2 linked regions of the Diceros bicornis minor genome follow. The protein of the gene in region 1 interacts with the protein of each later gene in a biochemical or structural test. Links are inferred from orthologs where the notes say so. Each region holds a gene or a part of one and is shown on either strand. Other genes may lie near its edges.

Evidence for each region.
Region 2: the proteins of SNTA1 (region 1) and KCNJ4 interact in a test that uses a peptide from one of them, tested with the Homo sapiens proteins (2 studies listed by BioGRID and IntAct). The link is inferred for Diceros bicornis minor from reciprocal best matches to the Homo sapiens genes SNTA1 and KCNJ4.

The regions. Positions count from the first base shown.
Region 1 is NC_080758.1:26,311,224-26,318,312, reverse strand, and holds the start of SNTA1 (alpha-1-syntrophin), read right to left. Parts: upstream 3,022-7,089; 5' UTR 2,946-3,021; coding exon 2,636-2,945; intron 1-2,635. UniProt on the Homo sapiens protein: Adapter protein that binds to and probably organizes the subcellular localization of a variety of membrane proteins. May link various receptors to the actin cytoskeleton and the extracellular matrix via the dystrophin glycoprotein complex.
Region 2 is NC_080764.1:11,500,684-11,506,757, forward strand, and holds KCNJ4 (inward rectifier potassium channel 4), read left to right. Parts: upstream 1-3,844; 5' UTR 3,845-3,876; coding exon 3,877-5,211; 3' UTR 5,212-5,549; downstream 5,550-6,074. UniProt on the Homo sapiens protein: Inward rectifier potassium channels are characterized by a greater tendency to allow potassium to flow into the cell rather than out of it.

The DNA.
Region 1 (7,089 bases):
CTGGCCATGCTGAGGCCGTGTCTCACATACAGCAACTAGAAGTATGTGCAGCTATGATATACAACTATCTACTGGGGCTTTGGGGGGGGAAATAAATAAATAAATAAAATTATTAAAAAAAAAGATAGAATTCAGCTATTCCTATGGCCCCAAAGGATCTCCTGAGCAATCAGAAAGTTTTACAATCCAGAATCCAGGCTGGAAACCAAAGCCTCAAAGTCTGGAGATTTCAAAAGCCTGTCTGAATTGCACCTCTGATGCAAAAAAAGCTAATACATTTTACTGAATTGCTTTACCGCTAAACTCTCGAATGTCCTTTGAAAATAAGAAATAGTAATAACGGTTCACATTAGTTCCATGTACCAAGTGCCAAGCAGTGTGTTAAATGCTTCCTATGCTGTCTCATTGCATCTTCACAACAACCAATCACACAGGCACGCTCAGTTTCCTATCAGAAACACTGAGGTGTGGAGAGAAGCCCCTTGCCCAAGGTCACCCAGCTAGTTAGTGGCAAAGCCAGTATTTGAACCTAGGTCTCCAGGCTCCAGAACCAACACTCTTAACCCTATGGCAGACTGCAAGTCAAACCCTCAGATATTACACTACTGGTCCATCCCCAGAATACTAAAGATGAGGAACTAGTGGCCCAGAGAGGGGAGGTCATTATTCCGAGATCACACAACAAATTGGTGGCAGAGGTGGACTGGAACGCTTCTCCTGACCCCCACACAGGCCCAAAGGTTTGTTCATTGCACTGCACAGAGCTGGAGGCCTAGGAAAGGAAGGGGCTTCTATTTATATCTGCCCTCATCCCCCTGAAGCTAGGGACTTCAGTTCGGTTTCAAGCTATGATCATTCCTGGCTGCCTTGGGCTAAGCTAGACCCTATAGGGGAGGTCACCATGGCAACAGGAGCCCAGTCTCCAACCACCAAGAACTGAATGGAGCTGGTACTTGCCCTGATGCCTCCTAAAAGAACCTTTACACACACACACACACACACACCCGGAAATATGGAGCTGGGAAGTAACTTTATGTGACCTTGGAAAGTCCCTGCTCATCTCCAAGTCTCAGTTTGTCCAACTGCAAAATGGAACTCTATATGAACTCTAAGTTCCTTCTTGCTTTGACACACTGAGTGTACAATTTCTGGATTGATCTGTTGCCCTATCGCATGTGGGAGTTTGGAGGCAAGACTGGTGCTCACTCCCTGGCTTCCCTATTTTCCCCTTTTCGATGCTTTGGTTGGGTTCCAGAGGGCAGAACCAACTCCCCTGGGCACTCTATAGTGTCCTGATAATTGACGTTCGAATCCCTGCCACTCGGTGACTGTATGATCCTGGTTAAAATCATTTTACTTCTCTGAGTCTCAGTTTCTTAACGCGCAAAATGGGGATTACGCTCCCTACCTTCCACCACTTGTTGCCAGGATGAAGTGGATCGTGAGCCTAGAGTTCTGGGCACAGCAGTCAGCACACAGTGGTAGCCGAGTCACCACCATCCCCAGCCCCTCACCCAAGCCAAAGGGTCTGGAGGCACTAGTGAACAAGAGCCAGCACCAGGGAGGGGGAACAGTGCATATCCAGGGTGACACAAGGGCTAACACCCTTTCCCAAGGCAGGTAGTACCCTGCTGGGAGCTGAGACCCTGAGAAGCAGATGGGTAGGAACGGTGAAACCAACAGCTGGTGGTGTGCAGGGATTTCAAGCGCTATGGTTAGTTGCTTTGGGAGTCTCTCCTGACCTCCATTTTTTCTCTCATCTAACAGCAATAATTAACCAGGCACCTACTATGTGCAGCAGGGTGAGTACTTTAGATCCCTGTTTTCACAGAAACATCACAACTCTCTCATTATCCTCATTATATAGTTGAAGAAACTGAGGTTTAGAGATGGGAGGTGACTTGTCCAAGTTCACATAGCTGATCCCCGACTCAAACAAATCTGGTTGCACCCTAAGGAAAGCTGTCAGTATTGGGGGCTGGCAGTTCTCAGAGAGGAGGAGGGCTCTATGTCCACGCCTCTCAATCCCGTGCAAGGTAGAGATGGTCAGGTCAGGAAACTGAAACCCAGTTGTTAGGACTCTCCGCCTAGGTACACAGCCTTCTGGACCCTGTCTGTGAGCCCAGCCGGTGCTTCCACCTACGTCTCTGATTCCCTGCCCCATCCCCTGCCCCGCTGTGCTCCCGACTTCAGGCCTCACCCCCGCGCCCCGCTACCTCGGTTACGCCTCAGGGACTTCCCCTCCCTGCCCTAGCAGCGACCCAGGCCTCAATTCTCTTTCTGCATCCTTTGCTCTCCCGGGGCCCCTCTTGTCCTTGATGCCCACGCAACCCCTGAGAGGCAACCCCTCTGAGATCTCTACGCCTCCACACAAAACTCCCCAACCACGTGTCCTTGGTGCGCCCCCAATCCCTTCCACACCTGTGCCTTCCGACTGAGACCTCTGACTCCCCAAACCCCCTCCGACCTTGGTGCTCCCCACGCTCTCGGTTCCCTCTGTCCGCTCAGACCCCTTGCCCCAGACAGAAGTCCTCCAACTCCATGTCCTCGGCACGCTGCCAGCCCCCGCGGCCCCTGCGCCCTCGGCGGCCCCAGAGACACCACGGCCCCTCGCCCTCGGTGCCCCCGCGCCCACCTTTGATGCTGATGCCCAGCCCGCCGGCGTCGGCCTTGCGCACCGTCACGCGGCGCCGCTGGAGCAGCAGCGCCTCGGGCGGCTGCGGGGGCGCCGCACTCGGCTCGGCGGCGCCGTTGAGCTGCGCGGGCTCCGATTCCCGCGGGGCGCCGGGCTCCGGGCCGGGCTCGCCGACGGCGGGGCTCACGGTCAGCGCGTCCTCCGCCAGACTGAGCAGCACCCGCTGCCACCGCTCGCCGCCGGCCCCCGAGCCCGCCCCGGCGCGCAGTTCCAGCAGCCCGGTGCGCGGGGCGCGCCTGCCTGACGCCATCTTCGCCTCCGAGCCCCCAAGCCTCCTGCCCGGCCCGCTCCGACCGAGCGCCCAGGGCAGAGGGCAGCGGCGGCCCGGCTGGGCCAGCCGCCACCCTACCCCCGGCCGCTGGGGGTGGAGCCTCGAGGGGCGGGGCTGTCTGGGGGTGTGGCTAACCGCGAGGGCGTGGCCGCAAGCAAGCTGGCGGGAGGCTGGGGCGGGGCCCAGGAGCCGAAGGATGCCCTGTGAGACTGCTTGGGGGGTGGGGTCGTAAGGCGCCGGGGCGGGGCCACGAAGCAAGGAGACGAGCAGGTGAGGTGCTGGAGCTGAGCCCGGCCATGCAGGGGGCGGGGCTTCGTGCCGGGGGCGGAGCCCTAGGATCCTGTGGAGGAGACTCCGCGCTGGGCCTGGCCGTCGAGTGCTGGGACCGCAGCTCACGGACGTGGGAACCAAAGAAAAAGAGACGTGGATCCGAGTGCGAGGCTTTGGGCGTCGGAGCGAGGCTACATATGGAGGAGCGCTGGACTCCAGGGACAGGGCTTGAGTTTAAGAGGTGGACCCCGGTCTGCGAGGGACTTAGCCGGAAGGGTTGCTAATGAAGAGCTTTGGAAGGAGCTGGTTTCCCACTGTGGGGCTGGAGCTTTGGTCTGTAGGCTTGGCTTAGTGTGGGGCGTGGCTTCTAAAGCTGACATGCCCCGCCCGCAGGGATGAGCGTGCTGCTGGCTCAGGGCTTGGAGAAGGGGTGGACAACGTCCCCACTTTAAAGAGAGTTTAGGAGATTAACCCCCTGTTTTGTTCACAGCCGAATACAGAAAAGCCTGAAGTCCCACATTGAGAGACCTGGCCTGAGAAGAATCCAGAACTCCTGGTGTGAGGGAAGAGGGCTGGAAGTTGGGTTTCTGGGTCCAGGAGTCTGGAGACCTGGTTTAGGGTCCCTGCTCAGACACTGTTAGCTTCATGTCGACGGTGGTCCCATCACTTCACTTGTCTAAGCCTCAATTTCGTCATCTGTGAAATGGGGGTCATAATAATCCCTACCTCACAGGGCTTGTGTCAGGGTTAAATCAATGTGAAAACACATTGTCAACTGTAAATTCCTAGGCAATCAGTATAATCACTTTCATTTACTGAATGCTTACTATTGGCCCATATCTGAGCATTTTTGATGTGTTATCTCATCTTTACAGTAGACTCATGCAGTAGCTACAGTTAAGAATACCCCCATTATACAGAAGGGAGAACTTGGATTGAGAAGGTCTAATTGCGTGGTCACACATTTGTGAGTGGAGCAGAGCAGGGATTCAAACCCAGGCCTGTTTGACACCAGTGCCTGGGCACTGACCCACTCTGCTAGACAGCTGCAAAGTACAGAAGTGAGGCGTAATTGTTATCAGAAAAATCCCAGCACACTGCACACCTCAACCCGCCCTCATATCTGCCCCTTGTCTCCATCCCCCCACTCCTACCTGGGATGTGTTGGGCAAAAATTGTTAGGGCCACATCAATGTGTAGACTCCCTGCACCTTCAGGTAGAAGCCTCCACATAAGATACCATCAAGATGGCCAACAGGCACATGAAAAGGTGTTCAACATCACTAATTTGGGAAATGCAAGTCAAAACCACAATGAGATATCACCTCACACCCGTCAGAATGGCTATTATTAAAAAGACAAGAAATAACAAGCGTTGGAGAGGATGTGGAGAAAAGGGAACCCTCGTACATTGTTGGTGGGAATGTAAATTGCTGCAGCCACTATGGAAAACAGTAGGGAAATTCCTCAAAAAATTAAAAATAAAACTACCATAGGGTCTAGCAATGCCACTTCTGCGTATTTATCCAAAGAAGAGGAAAATACTAATTCAAAAAGATATATGCACCCCTATGTTCATTGCAGCATTATTCACAATAGCCAAGACTTGGAAACAACCTAAGTGTCCATCCATGGATGAATGGATAAAGAAGATGTGGTATATATATACAATGAAATACTACTCAGCTTTAAAAAAAGATGAAATCTGGGGCCGGCCCCGTGGCTTAGGGGTTAAGTGCGCGCACTCTGCTGCTGGCCGCCCAAGTTCAGATCCCGGGCGCGCACCAACGCACTGCTTGTCCAGCCATGCTGAGGCAGCATCCCACATACAGCAAGTAGAAGGACGTGCAACTATGACATGCAACTATCTACTGGGGCTTTGGGGAGAAAAAGGGAAAAAAAAAAAAAGGAGGAGGATTGGCAATAGATGTTAGCTCAGGGCTGGTCTTCCTCAGCAAAAAGAGGAGGATTGGCATGGATGTTAGTTCAGGGCTAACCTTCCTCACACACACACACACAAAAAGATGAAATCTTGCCATTCATGACAACATGGATGGACCTTGAAGGTATTATGCTAAGTGAAATAAGTCAGATGGAGAAGGACAAATACTGTATGATTTCACTCATATGTGGAAGATAAACACATAGATACAAGAACAGATTGTCAGTCACCAGAGGGGAAGGGGGTAAGGAGAGGGCAAAAGGGGTAAAGGGGCACATGTGTACAGTGACAGATGGCAACTAGACTTTTGGTGGAGAACATGATATAGTCTATACAGAAGTTGAAATATAATGATGTACACCTGAAATTAATATGTTATAAACAAATGTTACCTTAATAAAAAAAACAAGATACCATCAAGAAAAAAAAACACAAGAAAACAGGTACGTATACAAATTGTCCACAGCAAACTTATGTTTGCAAATAACCAGAGATGAACCCAAGTGTCCAACCACAGGGGAATGGCTCTATACCACCAAAATCCGCTGAGGCCATGTACATAATACATGTATGTATTATACGCACAAGTACATAAAATATATAGATGCCATTTATTCAGTTTGTTATACATTGGCACATGAGCTGGCTGATTTTGTACATTGTCATTTAAACTTCACATAAATCCTGCACAGCCTGCATATTATCCCCTTTTTATAGATGAGAAAATTGAGGCACACCACTAGTAAGAACAGACCTCTAGGGGCCAGCCCCGTGGCTTAGTGGTTAAGTGCGCGCGCTCCGCTACTGGCGGCCCGGGTTCGGATCCCGGGTGCGCACCGAGGCACCGCTTCTCTGGCCATGCTGAGGCCGCGTCCCACATACAGCAACTAGAAGGATGTGCAACTATGACATACAACTATCTACTGGGGCTTTGGGGGAAAAAAAAGGAGGAGGATTGGCAATAGATGTTAGCTCAGAGCCAGTCTTCCTCAGCAAAAAAAGAGGAGGATTAGCATGGATGTTAGCTCAGGGCTGATCTTCCTCACAAAAAAAAAAAAGAACAGACCTCCATTCTAATTTGGGTCTGTCTGGCTTCCAAGCCCATATCCCTCCTACTCCACCTTTCTGCAGGCCACATAGCAGCAAGGGATGCGTTTACAATCCATTCATTCATTCAACAATATTTATTGAACATCCACTATGTGCCAGACACAGTACTAGGTGCAGAGATTCAGCTGTAAACGATAGGCTCACTGAACATACCATCCCCTGGGAGGCAGGATCCCATGGTGGTCAAGAGCATGAGCTTTGGATTCTGATTTTCTGTGTTCAAATTCTCACTGTGCCTCTTTTTTTTTTTTTCCCCCTGTGAGGAAGATTGGCCCTGGGCTAACATCCATGCCCATCTTCCTCGACTTTATATGTGGGACGCCTGCCACAGCATGGCTTGATAAGCGGTGTGTGGGTCCACACCTGGGATCCAAACCTGCAAACCCCGGGCCGCTGAAGCAGAGCATGCGAACTTAACCACTATACCACCAGGCCAGCCCCTCGCTGTGCCTCTTTCTATCTTTGTGATCCTGGGTGACTTATTTAACCCTTAAGCTTCAATTTCATAGCCTATAAAATGGGGTATTAAAATCACTATCCCAGAGATTGGATATTGGAATGAATAAAATAATGCTGGTAAACTGCTTAGCATAATTATTGTACATAGAAAGCATTCGAAAAAATATGAGTTGTGGGGCGTCCCACATAAATATGGCGGCATCCCATGTAAAGTAGAGGAAGATGGGCACGGATGTTAGCCCAGGGCCAATCTTCCTCAGCAAAAAGAGGAGGATTGGCAACAGATGTTAGCTCAGGGCTAATTCCTCACAAAAAAAATAAAACACGAATTGTAATTATCCT
Region 2 (6,074 bases), on another chromosome or scaffold:
GCTACTGGCAGCCCAGGTTCGGATCCCAGGCGCGCACTGACGCACCGCTTCTCCGGCCATGCTGAGGCCACGTCCCGCATACAGCAACTAGAAGGATGTGCAACTATGACACACAACTATCTACTGGGGCTTTGGGGGAAAAAAAAAAGGAGGAGCATTGGCAATAGATGTTAGCTCAGAGCCAGTCTTCCTCAGCAAAAAAGAGGAGGATTAGCATGGATGTTAGCTCAGGGCTGATCTTCCTCATAAAAAAAAAAAAAAAGAACAAAGGACAGAGACTGGAGGAAGAACCCCGGACGGGAAGGGGAAGGACTTGGCCGAGGTCACCCAGCAAGGCAGAGCGAGGGGCCCGGCCTCCCAGAGCCTCCCCCGTAGGGAATGTGCTGAAACCACGTTCTTCCCTGTGTGTTCACAGGGCGCATTCGGTGCAAGAGGGTTAGACCAGCCCCCTGCCTTCCATAAAAGGGTGGTTTAACTGTAGACATGGCGCAGGCGCCTAAACAACCAGGGTTCACTCTCTCTCTCTTAATAAAACAACCACATCCAGAGGAGGATGGTACCCAGTTGTCAGTGCCTCTCGCCCCTCTTCCATCTCCGTGCCCCTTCTCTTTTGCGCTTTTCCCTCGGGCCCTTGTGCCTTGGGCAGGAAGCCCCAAGTGACAAATAAGGGAAGACACCCTGACCAGTCTCCCAGTGGTTGTCACAGGAAAGCACAACGCCATGCTTCCTACGTTTCACTTTTTGGTCTGGGATCGTGCAGGTGGCAGGCGAGCCTCTCACTTCCGCCAAAGGAGCCCGTGGTGACGGGAGTGCTCCCTGATGTGAGCAGGTCACTGCGGACGAGGGCCGGGCGCTCACCAGCCCAGTGCACATGGGCTCCTCGTGGTGGAGGATGGCAGTCTAGGGGCGCACCTGTGCCTGGGGGCTGCTTTCCCAACGGCCCAGGGGTGGACATTTCAAGTGTCACCTGAGCTGACACAGGCGAAGCTGGATAAGACACAGGATAAGCTGTGCCGCCACCGGGCTACGATGCGGGGGCTGCTGGGGGTCGGGGGACCCGGGGATGGCAGGGCAGGGGCAGGGGGTGAGAACTGAAGTTGGGGGTGTGGGGGCGGAGGGGGTGTGGGGGCGGAGGGAGTGTCGGGGTGGGGACATGCGGAGCCTCCGGGCCGACCCTGGGGCATGAGCGTGGCTGAGATTCCAGTCACTTCCACTCATGAATGGGAAACACTGGGCCATGCTGGCGAGGGGAGGACCAAGAGCTTAGAGCCGTGGGGGGTGGTCTCCCTCCCTCCTCGCACCCAGGGCCCTGCTAGAGGGTGGAGCCCCATGAAGAGCCCTCTCCTGCAGCACAAGATGAAGCCCCCAGACCAGAGCCCTTCCCTGTGGCAGAGGACCAGGGGCCCCGCACCCTGGGCTCCTGTGTGGCCTTGGGCGGGGCCCTCACCCTCCCTGGGCCTCAGTGTCCTCACCCATCAAAGCCCCAGGTCACCACACCTTGTCCCCCCTGCCTGTCTCCCGGACACCTGTGGCAGGTGGGCCCAGGGCCTCCCGGGGCCGGGCTGGGGCCCTCTCTTCCCTAGCCCCAAACTCCACCCCAGCCCCCTCCAGGGAGGCAGCTCCTCTGCCCAGGAGCACCTTGACCTTCTTCCAGGAGTGGGAGTGAGGAGACGGGCTCAGGGCTGGCCCACCCTGTCTCGCTCTGGGACCCTTAGCAAGTCCGTCCCAGCTCTGGGCTTCCTCGGCCTCAGATGTAAAATGAGGGTCTTGAAATCAGTGATCTTCCGTTCCTCCTGGCTCTAGTTCCTTCTGTGGTGCTAATGGAGGCATTCAAGACAGCAGGACAGAGTCGAGTCGGAGATGTGTGGCGAAGGAAGACCCCCTGAAAACTATTTATAGTCTAGAAGGTGCACCTGGCCCCCAGTCCCCTAGGGCTGCCACCTGGAGCCCTGGCTATCAGGACTCTGGGTAGGGGGCAGACAGGGTCTGGGACTCCCAGCTAAAGTTGTAACCTCTTGGGGGCCAGTATGCACATCCACATTACCTGTTCAGACTGATGGGTCTCACTGGTCCCATTTTCCAGATGAGGAAACTGAGGTTCAGAGCAGTCAAGTAACTTGCCCAAGTTATGTGGTGGATCTGGGACTTCAATTCAGGACTGTGGGACCCAGGGAGCTCCTTTTGAGGGGGGAAGGGAGAAGAACCCAGAGTCGGGGTGGGGTGACTGTGGGGGAGGAGGGCAGGGCTCACTCTCCCTGGGCGCAGAGAGGGAGTTTCTCCCTGGCAGAGGCAGGCTCTGAAGCTGTTGATCTCTAAATTACAGCGTTGGCGCGCACTGGTTGCCGGGGCAACCGAGTTGTCCTGAACCGGGGAAGTGTATAAACATTGCCACAGATGCACAATTAGATCAGGAAGAAGAATAGGACAGAAAATAGAAACTTCCAGCCTTATATAATTCTGGGCCAAAATGTTACCGGGAACCCAGGCCCGGGCCTGGCCCTGCCAGCTGCTGGGGCCCTGGGCAGCACCATCTCTCTCCTGGGGCCCCAGTGGGAAAGAGGGTGGAGGGAGGGTCTGCCTTCCAAGGGCCCAGCTGCTGCGCCTGCCACCCGGCGGGGTGAGGGGCTGCCTCCACTGGAACAGCTGGGGACGCTGACAGGCGAATCCTGCCTCTCACCAGCTTCTCCCCCCACCCCCCCACACCCGGGAAGCGGCAAGGAAGGCAGGAGGGCGACTGGCTTAAACTGAGCACCCGCTCTCTCCCTGGGTCTTGTGGTGGAGTTTTGATTCTTACTTTACAGATGAGGAAACTGAGGCTCAGAGAGGTGAAGTGAGTCGTCCGAGGTGACACAGCTAGGCAGCAGATGTGTCTGCCTCCCCCTCTTCGGGTCTGCACACCGTGAGCTCATCGATGTTGCCACCACCCAGGGCCTGAAGAGCTAGACACACCTGGGTTTGGACCCACTTACCAGCTGTGTGGGCTTGGGTAGGTCACTTCCTCTCTCTGAGCCCCTGTTCCCTCACCTGTGACATGGGAACACCGATACCTACACAGGAGCCAAAGCTCGGGGCTCCCTCTTCCTCCACTGGGACCACCACCAGTGGAGTCTCCACCCACCACTCCTCCCAACAAGTTTGGGGACAGGACAGGAACCAAGAAGGGGCTGTGGGCCCCAGCACTGTCCAGTCGAACTTTCTGCCCTGAGGGAAATGTCTGCTCTGTCTAGTATGGTAGCCATTAGCCACATGTGGCCACTGAGCACGTGAAATGTGGCTAGTGCAACTGGGAACCGAAGTCAGAATTTTATTTAATTCTAAGTACATGTAAGAGCCACAGGTGGCCAGTGGCTGCTGTACTGGACAGCACAGGAGAATGTCCAGCCCCCGAGGGACCCAAGAGGGCAGAGGCTGAACCCAAGGAGGTGAGGGGGCCAGAGCTCCCTCTGCTCCAGGCAAAGGGGACAAATGGTGGGAGGGCAGAGCCCAGATGGGCATCAGGAAGCTCCGGGAACAGGGGCGAAGGAGGGTTGAGGGGGCGGAGTGAGGGGCTGGGACTGGGACCTGGATCCTGGTGGCCTCAGCTTCTGGAGCCGGGCCAGCCTCGGAGGCACTGGCTCAGGCCCGACACTCCCTCCCTGTCGTCAGAACCACCTAACTGTCCCCTTCTGCCCACCGGGCGGTGCAAGTCTTGGGTTCTAGTCCCGACTCTCCCCTTCCTGGGCGTCTCTGGACAGGCGCCTTGCCGCCCCCGAGCCTGGGCGCCCCGGGGCCCTCGGAGAGGCCGCCGCTGCAGCCGCTCGCCGCCAGCATCTCACCCGTCTGGTTTCTCCTCCCCAGGCCCCGCGTCTTCCCAGGTGAGCACGCCGGCTTCAGGACATGCACGCGCACAGCCGCAACGGGCAGGCGCACGTGCCTCGGCGGAAGCGCCGCAACCGCTTCGTCAAGAAGAACGGCCAATGCAACGTGTACTTCGCCAACCTGAGCAACAAGTCGCAGCGCTACATGGCGGACATCTTCACCACCTGCGTGGACACGCGCTGGCGCTACATGCTCATGATCTTCTCCGCGGCCTTCCTCGTCTCCTGGCTCTTTTTCGGCCTGCTCTTCTGGTGCATCGCCTTCTTCCACGGTGACCTGGAGGCCGGCCCAGCGGTGGCTGCGGCGGGGGCGCCTGCGGGCAGCGGCGGGGCGGCTCCGGTGGCCCCCAAACCCTGCATCATGCACGTGAACGGCTTCCTGGGCGCCTTCCTGTTCTCGGTGGAGACGCAGACGACCATCGGCTACGGGTTCCGGTGCGTGACGGAGGAGTGCCCGCTGGCGGTCATCGCCGTGGTGGTCCAGTCCATCGTGGGCTGCGTCATCGACTCCTTCATGATCGGCACCATCATGGCCAAGATGGCTCGCCCCAAGAAGCGGGCGCAGACGCTGCTGTTCAGCCACCACGCGGTCATCTCGGTGCGCGACGGCAAGCTCTGCCTGATGTGGCGCGTGGGCAACCTGCGCAAGAGCCACATCGTGGAGGCCCACGTGCGGGCCCAGCTCATCAAGCCCTACATGACCCAGGAGGGCGAGTATCTGCCGCTGGACCAGCGGGACCTCAACGTGGGCTACGACATCGGCCTGGACCGAATCTTCCTGGTGTCGCCCATCATCATCGTCCATGAGATTGATGAGGACAGCCCGCTCTACGGCATGGGCAAGGAGGAGCTGGAGTCGGAGGACTTTGAGATCGTGGTCATCCTCGAGGGCATGGTGGAGGCCACCGCCATGACCACCCAGGCCCGCAGCTCCTACCTGGCCAGCGAGATCCTGTGGGGCCACCGCTTCGAGCCCGTGGTCTTCGAGGAGAAGAGCCACTACAAGGTGGACTACTCGCGCTTCCATAAGACCTACGAGGTGGCCGGCACGCCCTGCTGCTCCGCCCGGGAGCTGCAGGAGAGCAAGATCACCGTCCTGCCCGCCCCGCCGCCCCCGCCCAGTGCCTTCTGCTACGAGAACGAGCTGGCTCTCATGAGCCAAGAGGAAGAGGAGATGGAGGAGGAGGCAGCGGCCGCTGCCGCGGTGGCCGCGGGCCTGGGCCTGGAGGCGGGCTCCAAGGAGGAGGCGGGCATCATCCGGATGCTGGAGTTTGGCAGCCACCTGGATCTGGAGCGCATGCAGGCCACCCTCCCGCTGGACAACATCTCCTACCGCAGGGAGTCCGCCATCTGACCTCCAGGCCCTGCCCTCGCTGCTTCCCACAAGAGCCTCTGCTGGGGGTGGGACACCAGGACACCCCCTCCGCACTCAGGACAGAGCTGACCCTGGTTCCATGGACCTTCTGGAGGGACGTGGGGGCCTCAAAGACTGGGACTTCAAAGTCCCTTCCTCCTGACTCCGGAGCCTAGGCCTGGGAAGGGCCCGGATACTCTCCGCCCTGTCAGCCCGGGTCCCCCAGCACCTACCCACTGGCAGCTTAGGGACCCCAGACCCACCACCCTTTCCCCACTGACCCTTCAAGGACGTGCCCCTTTTGCTCTCAGAACCTTGGGGAAGGCGGCTGGACTGCTGGGGGGGTGGGCATCATGGTGTTCTGGGGTGGGCAGGGGGTTAGTTTGGGGGAGGGAGGGAGGGGGGTGCGCTTCTTTTGCATGACTGTGGCCTGTTGCTCATGACTTTCTTTTGTAAATATCTATAAATGGAGAGAGATGGAGGCACCAAATCCACCTTCTGCCATTGGTACCTGCAGGACGAGGCGGTGTGGTCCCTCTCTGTGCCCCCTCCCCCTCCCGGCCAGGCAAGCCTAGCCCTTCCCCCTGCCCCACTGGCTGCTCCCTGAGGCCCTCAAAGCCAGCCGTCTTGGCCCCTGGATGGTGTTGGGCTTGAGTGCAGAGGTGGGACCCCGAGGGGCAGGATGAGGGCCAGTCCCTCCCTGCGGTCCCTCCGGGCCCCCGGGCCCAGCCCAGATTGACAATGGAGTTTGTAACTATATATTTTTAATAAAGTATATGGTCCATTAGGAGTAGGCTGGTTGAAGATGGAGGGCTGGGAAGAAGAGCTAGAGAGAGTGAGAGACACCAACAGGATGTGAGTGG